Linked DNA regions of Tribolium castaneum. The protein of the gene in region 1 purifies or fractionates together with the protein of each later gene. This does not show direct contact. Links are inferred from orthologs where the notes say so. Each region holds a gene or a part of one and is shown in the gene's direction. Other genes may lie near its edges.

The links. Proteins that work in one complex are often made in the same cells at the same time.
Region 2: the proteins of partitioning defective 3 homolog B (region 1) and RASSF8 purify together in Homo sapiens (affinity purification with mass spectrometry; 4 studies listed by BioGRID and IntAct, counting the BioPlex papers as one, with this or other methods). This does not show direct contact. The link is inferred for Tribolium castaneum from reciprocal best matches to the Homo sapiens genes PARD3 and RASSF8.

What each region holds. Positions count from the first base shown.
Region 1 is NC_087395.1:16,312,008-16,321,340, reverse strand, and holds the end of partitioning defective 3 homolog B, read left to right. Parts: intron 1-872; coding exon 873-1,024; intron 1,025-1,076; coding exon 1,077-1,396; intron 1,397-1,465; coding exon 1,466-1,534; intron 1,535-1,590; coding exon 1,591-1,676; intron 1,677-4,270; coding exon 4,271-4,418; intron 4,419-4,468; coding exon 4,469-5,064; intron 5,065-5,108; coding exon 5,109-5,215; intron 5,216-5,391; coding exon 5,392-5,475; intron 5,476-7,497; coding exon 7,498-7,792; 3' UTR 7,793-7,964; downstream 7,965-9,333. Other genes in the region: Madm (nuclear receptor-binding protein homolog), read right to left, coding at 9,329-9,333. UniProt on the Homo sapiens protein: Adapter protein involved in asymmetrical cell division and cell polarization processes. Seems to play a central role in the formation of epithelial tight junctions. Targets the phosphatase PTEN to cell junctions.
Region 2 is NC_087402.1:346,580-357,406, reverse strand, and holds RASSF8 (ras association domain-containing protein 8), read left to right. Parts: upstream 1-5,905; 5' UTR 5,906-6,102; intron 6,103-6,153; 5' UTR 6,154-6,159; coding exon 6,160-6,231; intron 6,232-6,283; coding exon 6,284-6,394; intron 6,395-6,445; coding exon 6,446-6,880; intron 6,881-6,929; coding exon 6,930-7,046; intron 7,047-7,092; coding exon 7,093-7,407; intron 7,408-7,451; coding exon 7,452-7,679; 3' UTR 7,680-7,980; downstream 7,981-10,827. Other genes in the region: cytochrome b-c1 complex subunit 8, read left to right, coding at 1-55; slit homolog 1 protein, read right to left, coding at 161-1,105; organic solute transporter alpha-like protein, read left to right, coding at 2,202-2,271, 2,786-2,937, 2,986-3,224, 3,274-3,370, 3,422-3,677, 3,726-3,973; thymidylate synthase, read right to left, coding at 4,143-4,352, 4,402-5,176, 5,224-5,231; inhibitor of growth protein 1, read right to left, coding at 8,206-8,756, 8,806-9,015, 9,066-9,201.

The sequences.
Region 1 (9,333 bases):
TAATACTTGAAATAAATTTTTGGTGCAAGAATCATTTCGTTATCTGTAAGACTCACCAAGTTATTGCAATTTAAAATTACTGCAAAATGCGCCTGAGGTGAAACCGAACCGTATTTCCCTCTGAAGCGTGTTCATCGCCTTTGATAACATTTCGAGAGCTAAAAATCGTAATTCGTAAATAATTAAAAAATAATTAATGTCACTTATCTATTAATATTATACCTTTACTTTTAACCGCCCTAACTCTCTGTTAATTTTAATAATATCTAAAAAGTCAAAAGAACATTTTTATCTCATGTACTTATTTAAAAAGCATAAAAATGACCCAGTAGAACTAAATTACGAAATTGTAATTCATTTCAAAGTATTCTTTGGTGTGACATTAATATTTTTTTAATTATTTATCATTTTTAGCCCTTGAAATGTTTTCAACCACACCACGTTTCAAAGGGAAATACGTTGCGATTTCACCTCGAGCACATTTTGTAGATAACTAAATAATCCTTCTTTAAAGTCCTTTTTAAAAAAATATGCAAATCGTAACGTTTCTGACGAATCAACCGGTAACATTAATTGTATAAACCCCTAGTAAACTACGCCAATGCACGCGCTATAACGGACCATTTCATCGATAAATATGAACATCGCGAGAGCGCTACGACGAGTCAGCTGATCGTTTGTGGCCTCATGGCCACCCCATAAAATTTCCTCACACTATATATCACCACAACAATTTTTTCAAATTAATCGCTCTGAAAACTTACGAATGACTTAATGAATCAAGAAGGTAAAGTTTTATTTGTACGTAGTTTCATATCCTAACCCTTAAATATCCGTATTTTTAACAAAAAATTAATAAAACAAAAAATTAGGCAACACACGACACTTGGAGCAACAGCATGTTGGCCTCCGCTAACAACTCCTACGGCAACATGACCAGCACCACCCTAAGTGTGGCCCCAGCTGAGCCAATCCTGATCGAGGACGAGTACGGATCGAGGGTCCTAACGCATCAAAACTCTCGGTTTGTGTTCTTGTTTCCCCCTTTGAGTCACTCGCTACGTTCGTGCTTGCAGAATCAACGTCCACATGACCAACAAGATGAACTTATCCAACGGCAGTATTCCCGAAAACCGCAACGAGCACGAACCCGACGGGAAAGCGACGGTTTCGGATAACAAAAGCACCGATTCCAACTCCCAAACCACCATTCAAGGCACAGACGCGACCTATGCCAGCCAATTATCCCTCGAGAATCCCCAAGGATTCTCCCGGGATGCGTTCGGGAGACAGAGCATGTCGGAGAAGCGGCACGCAACTCTGGACGCGAAAAACACCGATACTTACCAACGGACGAAGAAACTACGCGAAGAGAGAAAAAGTAAGGATGGTAACAGTAAGTTTAGTTGTGTGCTAACCAAAACCATTTGTGTTTGTGCTAATTGATTTTTCATTCATTCTGTAGCTAACTTAGTCAGAGTTGGGTCAGTGGAGTCTGTTATAAGTGTTAATCGGTCATCTGAACATCCTGAATGTAAGACTTGAGTCTTGTCGTTTGTGTGTGTGGGTTTTGATTGGTTGTTTTGGCAGATGCGGACAAGTTGGGCCAATTGGGACCTTCGTTAGGGATGAAGAAGTCGTCTAGTCTTGAGTCGCTACAAACGATGGTGCAAGAAGTAAGTCACTTTTATTTATATTGTTTTACTATCATTAAATTTGAATACCCAATTTTTTCTAAACTGAATGAAAGAATGGAAATGGGTCATTTTGGAACCTATCTTACTTGTAATATATTATATACAGCTGAACTTTTAAACCTAGCTAAAGGTACAAAGGTACAAACTTTTGCAGAAGACAGACATTTGCAAATGAATTTTGCTCCAAGTCATTCTCTTACTGCTGAAAATTCATAATCAAAGTCTTCCCTAAGGATTTTAAGATTTACTAATTATGTGTTATCTCACATCTGTTTTTAAAAAATGTTAATGTTGCTCTCGAACTTCTGTACTTTAAATTATAATATCTTAAATTTTAAACTTCGGAAAAAACTTTCAACCCTTGTGCTTTCGTTTATAAATTATGGACTCATTATTATGACAAACAACAAACATCTGTCGTCTGCAAAAAATTCAAAACAATTGCTACCGCTTTATTTTTGGTTTGAAGAAGCATGATTATCATGTATCAGAAAAAAATTAAAGACCTAGGTTGGTTAAAAATTGATAAGCTTTTTTCATGTCATTTGTCTGCATTTATTTTTCGCTTATTCTTAACATCGACATCTCTCTATCTGATCATTCACATATAACATAGTTTGAACTCAATTCGGAAATAAAATTAACTAGACGCCCTCTGGTGATGACTTTTGAACTATGTTGAAAACAGTAACGAAATTTTCGTAATTCCACATTTAACTGACATTTAACGAATTGTTTAACAATTTTGCGTCTATAGTGTTATATACTTATATTAGAGAGTATCACGTACTTTTGTACGTGGTGGTAAATACTAGTTTTGATCTTGGTCTGCGGTATAAAGTGTTAATTGTTGGAATTTGAAAGTGGATAAAAAGTGAAAAAAAATTAAAATTTGATTACAAAGTGTTATTAAACAGTTGTCTAATTGCAGACTGTAAATAATGGATCACAGTGAACACAAAGTTGGGCTCAAGAAACCAATAAATTAGTAAAGTGTGTGAATTTTAGGTTAGAATTTTCCACTGACAAACTCATGAAATACTTTGGTAAGTCTACAAAACTACAATTAAGATTAACAACTGCTGATTCATTTAAGCATAAATTGTTCCAAAATGTAGGCTTTTCAATGTCTTTGTAATAATTTTCCAATAAAGAAAGTGAACTAAACAGTCATTCCTTATTCGTGTTTTCCTCGTCATCACTAATTTGTCAACATTTGTTTCTTGCACCAAAGACACAATAGTCATTCCGCATAGGCAATGCAATAATTGGGAAGCCTCAAAATTCGTACAACGCTCAAAATATCCGAATAAACATTTTCCCGCTATTTATGGTTACTGTTTTCGACCTAGTTCAGTGGCGCCCCCAACGATAATTTTACTTCCGAATAATAAGAAACTAACTCCAAAAAATTGACAGATTATGACGTAAGTTTAGTTGAGACTTTTTGTAACGAGGCTATATTTTTGACGATATTTTCCGAACGGTTAGTCGTAGCGACTTGATTTTTGCAAATTTGTATTCCGCCGGTCATTTTACGTTAGAAACACTCAATCATAAAGAAATAATTTCCAAAAATTTACATATAATGATGTAAGCTTAGTTGAGACATTTTTGTAACGAAATCATATTTTTGACGATATCTTCCGAACGGTTAGTCGTGGCGATCTGGTTCTTGCAAATTTGGATTCCGCCGGTCATTCTACGTTAGGAACACTTAATTATAAAAAAATAATTCCAAAAAATTAACAGATGATGATGTAAGTTTAGTTGACATTTTTGTAACGAGACCATATTTTTGACGATATCTGCCGAACGGTTAGTCGTAGCGATCTGATTCTTGCAAATTTGGATTCCGCCGGTCATTCTACGTTAGAAACACTCAATCATAAAGAAATAATTCTAAAAAAATTTACGTTAGAGATACAACATATACATACATGGAAATTTTTTATTCTGGAGTCAGTGTTTACAATAAAGAGTAAAACTAAAAATTTGTTTTTAATAATTAAGTTTGCTCAACTGAATTGGCTGTTTGTTGATAATAAATGCAAAAGTTTTTTTCTGATCATTTTTTGCCTCTCATCTTAAAGAATTCTTTCTAATTTCTTACTTATTAAGAGACTGACAATGGTTTTTCTTTTAGTTTTTAAGTATTTTTTCATTTCAAGATTATTTATAAAGTTTATTTTAATTTTTTATATATTTTTTATTAATTTCATTTTTTTCTTCGAGGTTAAGTTGAATAACTTCAAGCTAGACTTCGCTTTCCCATCTGTTCTTATTGTTTAAATTTATTCAATAAAGGCCCTTTTTTATTATTTTTATTGTTACTATTATTCGTATTATTATTATTATTATTATTGTTATTATTATTAATTATGCATTAATATTCTCTATAGCTTGTTTATTGGTTTACCAACAATTTAGTAATTTTTATAGTTATAGAGGACCCCAATTGTGTTACCACATTTTTTGTGGCTGCGAGCGAGAGTTGAAGTTTTTTCTTTTAATTTTTTTGAGTTTAATTCAATCTTCAATTGTGATCCAACTCTGATTTGCATTTTTTTCAGATTCAGATGCAGGAAGAGGGCGACCCGGCTTACAGCTACAGGGGCCCTTCGGGCGCCCTTAAAGTGATACGAGGACGGGGCTGTGAGGAGAGCTTTAGGGCCGCTGTGGACAAACACATCGTCGACCCGAACCACCAATCGGAAATAAGTAATTCATATCAAATTACCCTTTTGTTTTTCTAATTGGTTGATTTTCAGGCGCAAAGAAACACTGGTTGCTCGACGGCCCAATGGAAGAGCGCGAAGTTGACGGTTTTAACAACGTGAGAGGGGCCCCACGTCAATCCTCCCTTAATGCGGCCCTTGACAGTAAACACAAGGCGGGAAAAAAGAAACCGAGTTTGTTGAAAGGCATCGGTTCAATGTTCCGGTTTGGAAAACACCGGAAAATGGAATTTGCCAACATTGATATACAACACTACCATCCGACCAATGAGTTTGACCCCAATGTTAATAACAATCAACAACAAGCGGAACAGAATTACCAACAGCAACAACAACAACATGAGAATTCTACCCAGGAACAACAACAACAACAACATCAACAGCAGCAGCAACAACGTGTGCAACAAATGATGCAACAGCAGAGAGAGCCGTTGTATCAGAGGCACGGTTTTGTGCACCGACATGCTGAACAGGTCCAAGTGATTCCGGAGAATTCGGTGGCGCCACCTATCAAGTACCGGAATCACGTCACCGTTGATCAGCAAGGGCAGAGGCGGAAAATTCACGACCATAGAGTAAGACACACTTACTACCAGTCGGATGAGAGAGAGCCGATCTATGGACAACAAGTATGTAACTCTGGAGAAAAAGCAAAAAATAATAATTTTTTTAGGGGAATTTCGGGGAGTACGGTGGCAGGCCTGGCAGCCGGTCGGGAATCACCGATTCGGTCCCTTTCACCCACTACGTCAACTACAACGAGCTGCAAAACCACCTAAGGTAAGCCCCCATCAAAATAAGTCAAAGGTTATGGAAATATTGGGCCCCTCTCAGTGTCTACGTTGTGCACATTTCATTTGTTACTAACTCTGATTTGTTGCATGACATAACGTTCTGTTTTTTATGTTATGATGTTTATGTGTTGTCATTGTCATAATTGTATTTTGTCCACGCAGCCGTAAAGATCCACTATCTGACAGTCAGATAGTTCAGATGCGTCTGCAAGTTCAACAGCAAAGGTTAAAGGTGGAGGAAGAAAGGTATGCACTTTTTCCCTTTACACACTCTTGAGCTTTGCGACTAATTTTTTAAATTGCATGCACGCTTGCCGGTGATTGTGTAACGTGACTCTTGTTCCAAAAAATTAACACTTGAATAACGTCTGAAAATGTGATGCATGCAACCTAGTCCTCGAGTTTTAAGGCCAAAGGGGACCTGTTTTTACCCAACAGATGGCGCCATGTCTGATCACAAAAACATTGTTTTTCTACATCCAACGTGTTTATTAGGGTAAAGTGCACAGTTATTGAACAGTTAAGCAAAATTCTCAACTGGAAAAATCATTACCGCCTTCAGAATAAAGATATAGATAATTGCGTAATTCCAAAGTAAAGATTGAAATGTGCAGAAAATGCGAATTATTATAGAATGTTACAACCTGCATTCAATTTTTTTCCTCAGCATTTTTATTTATTAAGTGGAAAAATTATAGTTATGGACCTGTCCCGAGATGCCTTGATTTGCATGACAAAAGTAGAAGTAAAATCAAAGTTTGTTTAATTTCCAACAAAGTTCCAAATCAAATCTAATGCTTAATTAATAATTCACGTCATATAAATCATCTCGATCACGATCACTCTTAGTCATTTTGTCCTTTATCAGTTTTTTTTTCTTCTTCGTTAGTTTTATCACTTTTTGCTTCTATTTCTTCCTCATCGACATATATTAACTTATCCAGCCAACATTCACTATTGTCATCCCTATAATAGGGATGCTGTAAGTCTTGATTTTCATCATCGATAATGTGTTCCTTGTGACATCTGGGAACACAACGGTTGTGAAAGAAGTGTTCATACTTCACAAATGTTAGGAATAACCTTCCTTGTATTTCTTTTAGGCAGATTGAGCAAATAATTTTTAATTATACAGATTTCTGTTGTTTAATTTCCTCTTTCGATGTCTTTTTCAATTCGTATCTTCTTTTGTTGGTCCTTTTTTTTTTCAGAAGTTTTTGGATGGGCTAAGTAATTGTGTATTCACAGCTGACTAGATTTTTCTTGCTGTGTAATATTAGTCTCTGTATTCTTTATTCTTTCATTCCGAAGTACTATGATTTTTGGGCTTACTTCACTTTCTAATATAATGCTATTTTCTTGATCATTTGGACACCCCTGTTTAATAACTTCATTCACAAAAAGAAAAACGAAAAAGGTAACTATGCTACCTTTCTGTTGTGCTTTCAGTAGGAGTTCAAAAATAAATTTTCCTAAAATGAAAATGCGCAAAATATAAATTTTATAGTTACTGGAGATTGACTGATTGCCGTCAGTGTAAAAAATTCAAATAAAATACATGAAATAGCAAGATACAAACTTACCTTCGGTCTTAGAATTGTTGAAGACTTCGAAAAAAAATAAGATACCAAATAATACAACAGTTCCTGTGACATAGTTCAGATTATCACTTGCGTATACAGGGTGAGTCAATAGTGGGTTATTTCTGACATGTCCTAAGATGCAACCAAAAATACTAATTGCACTTCCTACTTGGATACTTTGTTTGATTTTTCAAAACATTAATTAAATCAGTATTGTTGGTTGCATATTTAAAAAATTCAGAACTAACCGACTATTGACTCAGTCTATCGATGTTTTCTTTTTTTTAACAAACATTTTATTTCCACTGGTGGTACTACAATTTATTTATATGACATGTAGATCAAACTACGTCTTTTCAAAAAAAACAATAGAAGAAATAGTTTACGCTTCATATCCTACTAATATGAGTTCAATAGCTATCCACTGTCGAATGTGTTTAAACCATTTATCTTTTGATTACAAAAGAATAGCTTCAATTAAAAAGTATTGGAAAACTGTATTTAGTTGCAGTGTGAAACAGTCTCTTTAGATCACTCTGTATTTCCGCTTTTCTTACACTCGCGGCAAATACTGTAATAATTAAATAAATATTTGTCTTTTAGATTTTAAGTTTTGTCCTCTTTGGCCTTACACTTAAAAAAAGTGTTTGTAATTTTAAATTAGTGACGTCACATTTTTTATCAGTCGAAAGCAGCACCAGTACCACTCCCAGCGCCAGACCCGCACCGACAACCAGCTTCGTCCCGTGTCGAACTTCTACGAGTACGAGAGTATCCAGTCGATGCTTAACAACCGTCGGGGGAACCCCCCGGTGCCCCATAGTAACCCGCCTGTGATGTACCAAGACGTGAACTCCAATTCCCTCCCTCGGCAAGGCCAACCACCCGTTCAAGGCCGGCACCCGAACCGTAACCACAGAGGGCCTTTTGTGACCCACGTGACTATCGGCGATAGCCAACAGAACGGGACTAAAGTGTAAAGGTGTTGAAACTGTTTTTTGTGATTTGTATCATCAGTATTATGAAACTGTTTCAGCGCCGCGTCCATTTTATCTGTATATACGAGCTTTATTTTATATTGTAAATAATTTATGATATGTATAATAAGAAAGTGAATTTTATACAAACAAGAAATACAGTTACAAAATTGTCCGTATTGCATCTTTATTTAAATAAGGTATACAATAAAGAATGGTGATATTACAATACAAATAAACACAACTTAAATGAAATTATGTAATTGAGGGAGTGGCGAGCACTCGAGAGCCAGCGCTGAGGTGTTTGGCGGGAGCTTGAAATGCAAAGTCTCCGTAGCATTCAATATAGAATTTGATATACACTTGCTCAATGTGAGCAATAATAATGAACAACATGCAGAGGCATGACTAACCTAAATCATAAACAAGCTAATTCATGATGGCAATGCGAACCGATGGGTATGGGTAACAAATGAGAAATAAATAAGTATAAAAAATCATAGTCTATAATATCACTAACAGCGAAATACGTATGGATGTCCACAAATAAAAACTCTGCACGTGTGTTCGGTCTCTAGGGAAGAACAGTAATCTGAATGTGTTTCTCAAGAGGTTACGGTGAAGAAGCTGTGAGTGTGAACATTGGTTTAGTTAACGGAAAGACTGCTGCGGCTGTACTGGAATCGGATGGGCAAGCGAACCGACTATCAACCTACACAGGTTAGCCATCATCCAGAACTTTGAGCGAATTATCACACGGGACCTCTAACAGAAATAAATAATCCTTACTCTAATTTCCTCAATAAAAAATCCAATATCTACAATTTCATACACTTGTTAGAATTACCCTATTTACAATCCCTCCACTGACCCAACTCGCCATTCACGTCAGTCGCAAACAACAGAATTTAGGCCCGAAAAAATTCGTTGACGAAACAAAAGCTGACGTAAATGCTAGTTCCCAACGACACTAACCTTCCACATTGGTCCTGTCCTGCACGACTACCACTATTCACAATTTCTCCTTAATTAGTACATCATCAGTCTCAAGGGGCAAACAATAATGCATTTGCGACGAGTATTGACAGAAACGAAACGAAACGATTCAACAGATTCTTGCGACGCGGCCTAGGAGTTACAAAATTATCATAAACAGATCACATACAATATGAAATCTATGATTAAACAGTCCAGCGTTTATGTCATTGAAGCTCTGATCACAGATTAACACGTGGTCACATGACTAGTGTAATGTCCAGCATTTTACAGTCTTCTTCTTTCTAACTCTACCATGACGTAGACTAACCCAAATAAGGCATGAACCTAGCTCGGAAAAATGCAGGCGGCCTAGTAAGCTTATCTACGGTTTATCACGCATCTGGACGCCGATAACGACTGATCGGAATCCCGATTTTTATTATTAACTCCCTGCATTTTTTCCACGATAGTCTAGTTAGTCCAGACACTGTGTTTATGATAAATAACGTTTACTTTGACATCTTAGAAATACGAAAGTGCATTGGCAGTATCTATGTTTTACTAAC
Region 2 (10,827 bases), on another chromosome or scaffold:
AGAACACCACCGACTGATGCGAAAAAACCCAGCTGATTACGAAAATGATCAATAATTTGTAAAAATTTAGTCAATAAATAGCAACTATTAGAAACCCATCATTTATTTACATAACTTAAAACAGTTAGAAAAATAAAAAAAATATTTATACAAAAGTGACTTAAACCCTCAAGTCGTAAAGCAGCGCATTTTTACTCTCGCTCATCTTCACACTCCTAGTCAGGAATTTGTACGTGATACAAGTGCCGCAAGTCGCCCCCAAAACCAGACTCGTAATAATCGCAACAAAAAGCATCAAAGCGTAGTAAAAATCATTGTCAAATTCGGTCGTCACTATAATTTCGTTACTCGGCTTTGTAACGTTGAAATCGGCGCATTTTCCGCCCAATTCCACGAAAATTTTCTTCTCGTTTTGGCACCGCACCGGTTCCGTAACATCAACAAACCGTTTACTTATCAGAAACTCGAATAATTCAACCGTCTTGCAATCACACAGCCACGGATTGTGGGCCAGCCCCACAAAAAACAAATTATTCATCCCCGAGAAAATCACCGGATTAACACTCTTCAAGTTATTCTGTTGCAAAAGCAAGATGCGCAAATTTGGTAACGCGTCCAAAGCGTCATCACCAATCCGTTCAATTCGCGAATTAGCAATCGCCAAAACCTCCAAACTCTTGGACTGAATTTTGGGCATTTCGGCAAAATAATTACTCGACAAGTCCAATAGCACCATGTTCTCGTTACTCCGAATGATTTCTTCGGGGAAATAGTGCAATAAATTATCGCTGAGGTAGAGTTCTTGCAAGTTTTCAAGCTCGTCAAAGGCGTGATCGTCAATAATGCTTAAGGAGGTACTGTTTAGATAAATCTCTTTGACTTGGTCGCTTTTATCAAAGCTGAAATCGTCGATGTCGATTAATGTTATGGGGTTCCCCGAAAGGTCGATTATGACGGGGTTGTTATCCAGACTTTCGAAATAAGGCACGTACTCTAGACTTGACTGGACACAAGTTATTGAGTTTTGGGTGCAAGTACAACGGATGGGGCACCCGCCTTGGACTATGGTCACTACTTCCAAAATTAGAATTAAAAGCACAATCATTTTATCACCTGGAAAAAATTCACGATAAGGTTTTTTCACACAGCCACACGTGATAATTATTTTTTTAATCAATTCACAATCGTTTTCTTTGAAATTCAAGACAGTATTTCATTATTATAATTGAATAAATGGCTTTGTACTTACTTCAATTTTTGTGGCTTTTTCGGTGCGTTGGGAACCTAACTCGTTCCTTGAATTACGTACGATTTATCTTATCGATTCAAGTTATTGAAACTTGGATGGTGTTTACAGACTTTTAGATACCTGCGATGTTTCTAATCTTAAATGTTTACAAATCGATTTGATATATAGGTAGAAAAACGGTAAGATTTTTCTTAAAGTGGTGAGATAATATCTTTTCAGACGATAAGATATAATTTTTTCTTCTAATTGTGTTCATTATAATTAAAAGAGACGTAATTAATTAATTTAATAAGGATCACTGATTTTTTTTAATCAAACATGTTAAAAAAATCAAAATACAAAAGTAATAGCTAATAGTTAGATATTTAACAAACTAACTTGTTTAAACTTAAAGCAATAAACACTGAATTCTGTGATTACCTATCAGTTTTTGAGATTTGTTAAAAATATACTTTCATATACTGTAATAGCTTTAATGTGAAAAAAAAATTAACAAAAAAAGAAACAATTCGTCATTTAAATACAATTTTAATTGTACAATTTAATTTTTAATGAATTTTTCTTGTATTAACAGAAAATATTTCGAACAAAACGTGAGTTTAATTTTTTAACAAAACGTTTTCTGTGCATATTTATTTTTGCATATCTTGAATTTTGTCGGTGATAAAATGGCTTTCTTGTAAGGTCATTTCGCATAAATGTTGTGGTGCAGTCATTGACAAAGTTGCTCAATATTTAATGTAACTTTAAGAAAGTTGGCGTGCGACCCCCTCTTGTCTTTCAGTTGGTGGAATGTATACCTCAGTCCATTCATTGGCATGGTATTAGTAAAATTGCGTCAATAACACAGACATGCGACTTTAAATTTATACAAACTGTTGAATAAACCAACTAAAATGACAAAGAAAGTGAAATAATTATCGATAAGTGAGTGATAAGCAACGAAAAAAAAATGGATTTTTTCAACAAAAATTTAACGTGTGCCTCTTTGGATATACCATCAATCCCGGAATACCTATCAGGTAAAAATTCCAACAAACCATCCGGTCCACTTTTCCCCAAGACATTTCAAATAATAACAGGAACACACCATATTAATTACTGTACTGACCGTCATGATCCACATTTCGATTACGCAACACCCAAGAAACTGAAATTAAAACTTTTCTTTGACTTTTTTTGACTTTCACCTTGTTTTCTCTCCGGTCGTGCTACATATATCCGTTTTTTTCCTCCACATCTTCCACGTTACATAAATATTATTATGTAAAACGGGGAAAACACAAGATATCGCGAATCCGAAAAATGCAAACGTGTTGTGCAACTCTTAACCGGTCGTTTCTTTTAATAGATTTCCCCAAAATTGAGCAATCAAATATTGCACACACGCTATTCATTTACCCTTCTCCCATCCTTGACGAGTCGACCGACACGCTAAATTCAAAAATAACAATCGAGTTACTATGGAAACTGTCACTGGCAGTGCGACCAGTGGCGGGTTAATTTTTTTTTAATTAATTAAAATTTTTATTTCAGCCACAAATGTCTACGGGGTGACTCTAGTAACCCTGGGAACGTTGGCAGTTGTGTTAGTTTTAGTAATGTTCATCGATACTCTCCAATACATAATAAAAAATTCCTCGTCTCGAGTAAAAACATATTCAGCCTTCGTCATCGGTGTTTATCCGGTATATTTATACAAATGGTTTTTTTCAGACGAATAATTTTGGTTGTAGGTTGTAGCTCTAGTGACTTATTTTGCAATTTTGGTCCCTCGGGCCCACCTTTTAAGCGAAGCCATAACCCAGGGTGCTTTTATGGCAGGAATGTATCAATTATTTTGTCTTTTTGTGGCGTATTGTGGAGGCGAAGCCGAGCTAATTCGCAAAGTCAAACCCGGAAGTTTAAATTTGAGAGTAATGCCGTGTTGTTGTTGGCCTTGTTGCTTCTTTTTACCGCCGATTGAAGTCACAAAGTAAAGTTGTAATTCGATTAAAGCCAATCTTTACGATTTTTTTTTACAGGAATACAATTCAGCGGTTACGATTACTCGTTTTGCAATTACCAGTCGTTCAAGGATTGGTTTATTTGGTCCTTTTAGTGATGTGGGCCGAACGTGAGGTATTTAATCAAGAAACGCACAAACTGTTCGAACTATATTAAAAATTCCAGAGTTTGTATCAAGTCAATTACATGTACTTGCAGCCAGTGATAATAATTTCGATATTATTCGGGGTTTGGGGCATGGCGATGACAATCAACCTCCTTAAAGGCTTCCTAGGGGACGAATATTTAATGCCTTCGAAATTTATCGTCCTTCAGTTAGTCCTAGTTTTAGCAAAAATGCAAGGAGCTGCCACTAGAGGACTAGTTATGATTGATATTTTGCCGTGTCGACCACCAATAACACCGACAGTTTATGGAAATTGTAATTATTTTTTTATTGCCTCGTAATTATTACAATTTTTTCTTTTAGTAATTCATAATACACTAATGTTGGCTGAAATGGTTTTGTTGCAATTTGCGGCTAGAAAATTATACAAGAGAATTTTACCAGATTATGCAAGTGAAGGTGTTGGCACCATTAGTACCATAGGCGGTATAATGGCCTCTGACCTTATGAAAGATAATAATAACAGTAATTGTGAGAATTTGAATGTGAAGCTAGGTGTGAACAAGTGCAAAATGGGGCACTTTAACGTGGCGCTAGACATGCGAGAATAGTTTAAATAAAATGTTTTTGTTAAAATGATGTGTGTTATTAAAAAAAATAACGAAACAAAGTTTGTGACGACCTCTAGGACAGGATTTATGCGGAATAATATTTTCACAAAAATAAAAAAATGACGTATATTTGATAAACAGATAAGTACATTAAACACATATTTTTACTTCAAACAGCCATCGGCATACTCAATTTGGGATGGGGCTCGTACCCACTCAACTCAAAATCATCAAAAACAAAATCCTCAATACTGGAAACTTGTCTTTTGATTTTTAATGTTGGAAACGGCCTTGGTGTCCTCTTTAATTGTTCTTGCAACGGTTCGACATGATTCAAGTAGACATGACTGTCCCCTAACGTATGAATAAATTCCCCGGGCTAAAATAACTAACTAAAAAATTTGACGCAACTTTGAGCCAATAAAAACCTTCAATCCTGTAACATGTGCAATCATATACGTCAACAAGGAATAACTTGCAATATTGAACGGCACCCCCAGCCCCATATCAGCCGACCTTTGGTACAACAAACACGACAATTCCCCATTTGCCACAAAAAACTGCACGAGGCAGTGACAAGGCGGGAGGGCCATTTCGGGAATATCCACTGGATTCCACGCACACATTATGATTCTCCTATCGTTGGGTTTATTACGAATTGTTTCGATAACATGAGCCAATTGGTCAATCCCTTGATTGGCGTAATCCCAGTGCATCCCCTTGTACTCGGCCCCAAAGTGGCGCCACTGGAAACCATAAACCGGTCCCAGATCGCCCTCCTCGCGCTCATTGAGCCCCACAGAATCGAGAAACTCTCGTGTGCTGTTCGCATCCCAAATATGCACATTTTTCTCTTTTAATTCGTTTGCGTTCGTTGAGCCTTTGATGAACCAAAGCAACTCCTCAACGACTCCGCGCCAGAACACACGTTTCGTGGTCAACAGAGGGAAGACATTGTCGCGGAGGGAGTAGCGCATTTGGGCTCCAAAAATCGAAAAAGTGCCAACACCGGTGCGGTCACTTTTTTTTACACCCTTATCGATGATTAGTTTAATGTGGCTCAGGTATTGGTACTCTTCGTGTTCTTGCTCAAGGGGCAAACTACTGGTTTTGGTGTCGCGACACGTGTCTCCGATATTTAAGGGGTTATCAGAGATGTTTTCCTTGTTTGAGTCGTCGGTTTGGTTAGGTTTGATTGGAGAGCTAATGTGCGAATTTTGGTGGATTGTATGCGAAAATTCAATACTTACGATAACATTTTCACGGTTTAACAACACTAAACACACGGAAATTTAGAAAAAACACACACTAAACTTAGGATTTGATGCGGAACTTTCCCGCCAATTTGGACTAGTTGGCGTCGGTGCAGTAAAAAAGAATTTTTTTGGTTAGGTTTCCGCTTTAATTTTTTTTATTTTCACAAGTAATAGACAAAAAGAAAACTTACGCAAACATTTTCTCCAATTTTCCGTCACTAAACACTTGTAAACACTTGGAAAAGTTTAGGAATCAACACCAAAGCCCACGATTATTACGAGACTTTTCTTTCAATTTAAAACAAGTTGGCGGGTTTGATCAAATTAGGGATTTTTGGTCTTAGTGGTATGAAAAAATAATCAATAATCATAAATTTTCAGTCAAAGGTGAGAAATTCCACCTTTTTGACTGAAAAATCGGTGAAAAACCCGCAACTTAATAGTCTGTTAGGATTTTTCGTATTTGAGTTATCTTTTGGTTACGTTTCGATGACAATATTTCAAGAAGTTTACCGCTCAATAGACAAAAATGTGAGAAAATTGCAACTTACGCACATACTTTCCCCACTTTATCGGCACTAAACACTTGGAAAAGTCTAAAAATTGGCACAAAAAGACACAACTATTACGCGACTTTTCTTTCACTTTGAATCAAGTTGGCGGGTTTGGTGCTTTTGACCCGTTGGGTTGGTGGCAAGTGACAAGAGTAAAAAATATTTGACGTTTATAAATAAAAATAAATTGCACATTTTTGCCCCAAAACATGTAAAAAAATGCAAATTTTGAATAAACGTCGCTTTAATTTAGTTACGTAAACTCGGGGTTTGTTACCACCGTGCTTCGATTGATCAAAATGCCAAAACCTGGAATTAGGTGAGTGCGATAATTGTGTGAGGATAATTGTGAATAAAATAGTTTTTGTAGTGCAATATGGAGTTAAAAGTTTGGGTCGAGGGAATCCAACGGATAGTGTGTGGGGTGACTGAGACGACAACGTGTCAGGTACCCCCTGACGCCCCCCATTTGATAATTTCTCACACTTGTCAAATTGCAGGATGTAGTGTTTGCTTTAGCTCACGCCACGGGTAAGTCAGGCCGATTCACACTTATCGAACGGTGGAGGAACAACGAACGACAGTTGGCCCCCAATGAAAACCCCCTCAAGGTTTGTAAACCCACCCCCCAAAAAAAATTAAAAAAAATAATAAACACGCAGATTTTGATGAAATGGGGTGAGTACTCAAACGACGTCCAATTCATCCTCCAATGGAGCGAAAGCAAACCCATGACACCAACAACCAAACCAAAAACATCATCATCATCAGCTAATATCATAGTGGAATCACCACAAAAACACACCGAGAAGTCACAAGTAGGCGTTGTGAAAGGTGTACCGCATGTAAAAACACTACAAGTGCGCGAATCTCAAAATTCACCCAAAAAATCCGAATCTCCTAGTCATAGAATCCACCCACCGGCACCGCCCCCTTACCGCGATCCGCCGCCCCCCAAAAAAAATATCCTACAAGAGTCAAACAAAACACACAAATTACAGGAGTCTGTACTCTACAATGCCCAGTATAGGGAATTAATCGCGCTTATTAATTACCAGAGGGAGAAATTGTCCAATCAGCAAGCAGACCTAACAAAGGTGCCACAATTAATTTAATTAATTCTTATTAGAAATTATTTTTTTGTAGTTTGATGCCGAAATTGTGTTTTGGGAGAGTAAAGAACGGGAAAAACAAATGCAATTAGAATACATTTCGCAGGAAATTCTCGCAATGACTAATGCTACGAAATTAAATCAAGACCAGGTTTGTTTCAAATAATAAATTTTCAATAATAAAAAATTGTCCCTAGATTCAGGCATTGCATTACATTGAGGAAGAATGCGAAATAGTGAAACAGCAAGAGAAAACGCTCAAATCCGAAATAACTCTCTTGAGATCAAAGCTTGCAAATTGCGAAACTGAACTTTTGCAGTGCAAAAATAAAATTCGTTTAGTAATGGACGAGTTACAAATCGAACAAAGAGCTTTATCGCGTCGTTCTGAATCACGCAAACAAATGGAAAAAAGTCTCCTAGTCGAAATGGAGCGGTTACAGAGAGATATCGAGTTGGCAAAACAGAGCACTGAATTGCATCACCTGACTGCCGAAACGCTCAAAAAAGAAGTGAGTGGTTTTATCCCTCTGTTTGATAATTTATTGTTTTTTAGGTTGCCGCACTTGAGACGGCAATAATCGAAAAGAAAAAACAAGTGGAATTGCTTGTGACTGAAATGAAAGAGGCGAATTTACAAAGTTTGACTATAGCGCCACCTGAGGATTTACGAGCGATTTTGGAAGGTCCTAATAAGGGAAGTACCCGAAAAATGATTGGTTCGCCTCGACAATTGGAAAATGCTGTACCAACCAATAAAAACCCGCATGGAGTTTGGGTCTAATAAAATTGTAGTCATTTTGTTTAGCTTACCTCAGTCTAGGCGTGTTTGATTTTCAAGTCTGATAGTTTGTATTGACGCCATTTTAAATTATAAAAAGTGTTATTTATTGTTAGGTGATTGGATGATTTTTTACTTACACATTTTTGTTACTTTATTTTATTTTACACTGCCATATTGTGTGTAGTTGCATCACACAGGATTATGATAAAGAAATGATGTTAGATATATTTATTATTTTAAAATATTAAAATTATATTTAATTGCTATGTCGGAAATGTAAAATACACACAAAAATATTAAATTGCGTTTTTCTTCTTCTTTTTTCCCTTTAATTTAGAAATTGCAAGTTGGCGGGTTTGGAGGATTTAGGAATTTTTGGTTTTCTTTTATCAGGATTTTTCGAGGTTCCTGGTTAGGTTAACATTACCAGACACTGAGATGTTAGACATATTTATTATTTTAAAACATTCTATGAAATTATATTTAATTGCTATGTAAGAACTGTAAAATGCACACACCAATAAACTTATGTTTTCTCCTCTTTATCCTTATTATACTTTTCGAGTTCTCTTAAAAATTGCGCCTTGGGTTTCATAACATTGGGTCTATCACCTCTACACTTTGGACAATACCATTTACCTTTCGGTTTGGTGGTTAAAGTAACGCAAGAAAAGTGGAACCACTCGATTGGACACAAATCATTGTCGCACATAATCATTTCACCGTAAGAAATTTGATCACAGAGACAATAAGTGGGCTCATCGGGATCAATAATCGGCTCTTCCTCCCTTGGCGGAGATTCCTCTCTCTGTGCTTGCACTTGCTTCGATTTGCGCTTCTTCTTCTTCCCAGTCCCACTCTTCTTCGTCGAGTTGGCCGTGGACGGCACCTGGCTCCTCAAAACGTGCTCCACTGGGGCTGAATCATTATGATTCGACTCCAAGCCTGAGAAAGTGTCATGACGGGTGCGCCGCGCCCTCTTTGGAGGCCTCTCGACCAAACCCGCACTACTGCTGTTGTTATTAGGGGGCTGTTGCTCCTTGTTTTCGAGTTGAGTCGTCTCGTCTTTACCAAAATCTAGCAATCGCGTTTGACATGGTGTAAATTAAAAAAATACGAAAAGTACCTAAATTTTTGAAGTCCTGGTCCAACAAGCGCGTCTTGATCTCAATCTTGTCCAGAATTGACTGCAAGAGGTTCATTTTCTCGTCGCCCAGTTCCTGGGCTGCGATCAGGGCTTGCTGCATGCGGGCGAAGCCCCGGGCCTTTTTGGCGGGGTTATCGTTACCGATTTTTTTCCAGTTCTCGGTCTGGTATGCGGCTTCACGCACGCGGGCTGAAAGGGCGGCTTGAGGCCGGTTTTTGGATGAAAATAGCAAAGTTTACCCAAGTAACAGACGTCGAGTTCTCGCATCCTGGAGATTAGGCGTTGGAGTTCATCGGGGAGGTTCTCAACGCAATCCAAATAGTTCTCTACGTACGTGGCGGAATAAACGGCCTCGACGGACACTTGGTTCAACATGATTTTCAACGGGGAAAGTTACAAAAAGGTTAAAGGTTTACTTCAGCTTCACATATTTCAAACATAAGCCACCATTTTTGACATCAATCGCTGTTTACCGATTTTCACGGAGAAAAAAACCCCAGGACGGATACGCGCCAAACTCAATTTTTTACACGACCATTTTGTCTAAGGCCTAACTGCACCGGTTCTGCTTAATAAATAATCAAAAAAACTAAATTCTTGCCAAATTTCGTCTTTGATCTCCTAAAAAAATCACTAAATTTGTGTAATAATAAAAAAATTATCACAAATTTAACTTTTTTTTTGCACAAAAACTACTAAATTCAGCTCACCACTGCATTATTTTCAAGGTTTCAGTGCATTTTTCAGTCTGAAACTCACTTATTTTGCAAAATTCAAAATAAAAAATTATCGAATTGGGCCGCAAAAGACAATTTTTTCCATTTTCAAAGAGTTTCAGCACTTTTTCGTTAAGGAGCAAGAAAAAATTATGTTACTCTGTTATTAATTATTACCATCAACCACTTGCGGGAATCAAATGTACCACAAAAATTAATTTATATTAACTAAAGTTTAATGTTCTCTTGCATAAAATATTGATGCACAAATGCTCATACAAAGTATGAGTTTTAATAATAGGAGTTTTATTGGAACTAAAATGATTTTTATCTCCCAAGTTTTAACATGCATGTGAATAAAAAGTTAAACATGCAAAAAAGTGAGCATTCCATGTTTTAAATTTAAAAATAATGTTCCTAAACTTTAGGTCCGTTCAGTAAATATAAATTAAAAAAATGTAATTTTGGGGCTACACTCAACACCCCAGTTGTTGGCAAATAAATAGAAGAAAATAAATTTAAAAAAACAAGCATGGTCAATGTCTGCGAGATATTAGAGCTAAACCCGGCGCCTCCGCCATAAAGACACGACGAATAATTTCCAATTTCCGTCGAAATTTTCGCAACTTGTCAGTATTCCGGACAGAAGAATGTCTCTAGTAACCTTAAAAATGTCGACACAAGGCGGACGTTTCAAATAAATCAGGCTCAAGTCATAAAGAAAAATCCTTTTGTAGGAAACGTCCGATTTAATCTTTTGTGGCTTTATTGAACTTAATGAAAAGTTGCAATTAATTTCTTAAGTTTGAAACGTGACGCTTGAGCTAATTCCAGTCGGTCAGCGAAATCTGAAGTCGTAATAGCTGGTTTGCGCTAAATAAATCAAAATATTGTAACAATATAATTATGGAGGAAACGTGGGAGCAGCCAATGGTGGTGGCCCAACCCCCTCCAACACATGTAGGCGCCTTGGAAGGATAAAGAGTTTCAGCAACATCCTGAAACGCCTGTTGATCTGCAACCAGTTGTGTTAGAGGCCCAAGGAATTTTAGCAACTTGTAAGTTTCATGTTTTCGATGTTTGACCAAAAATCAATTGCCATTCGTGAAGTGAAGAATAATTAGGCGAAAAACGTGGGGAAAATAACTTGAAGAAAACGCGACAGCGTCATAAATCTTAAGTCTTTAGCAGCTTGTTTTACTTTAATTTAGTTCCCATAGAAAAATGATCGATTAAAATTAATTGAAATCCTTTGAGTGACTGTTGAATGAATTTTCTAAACAGC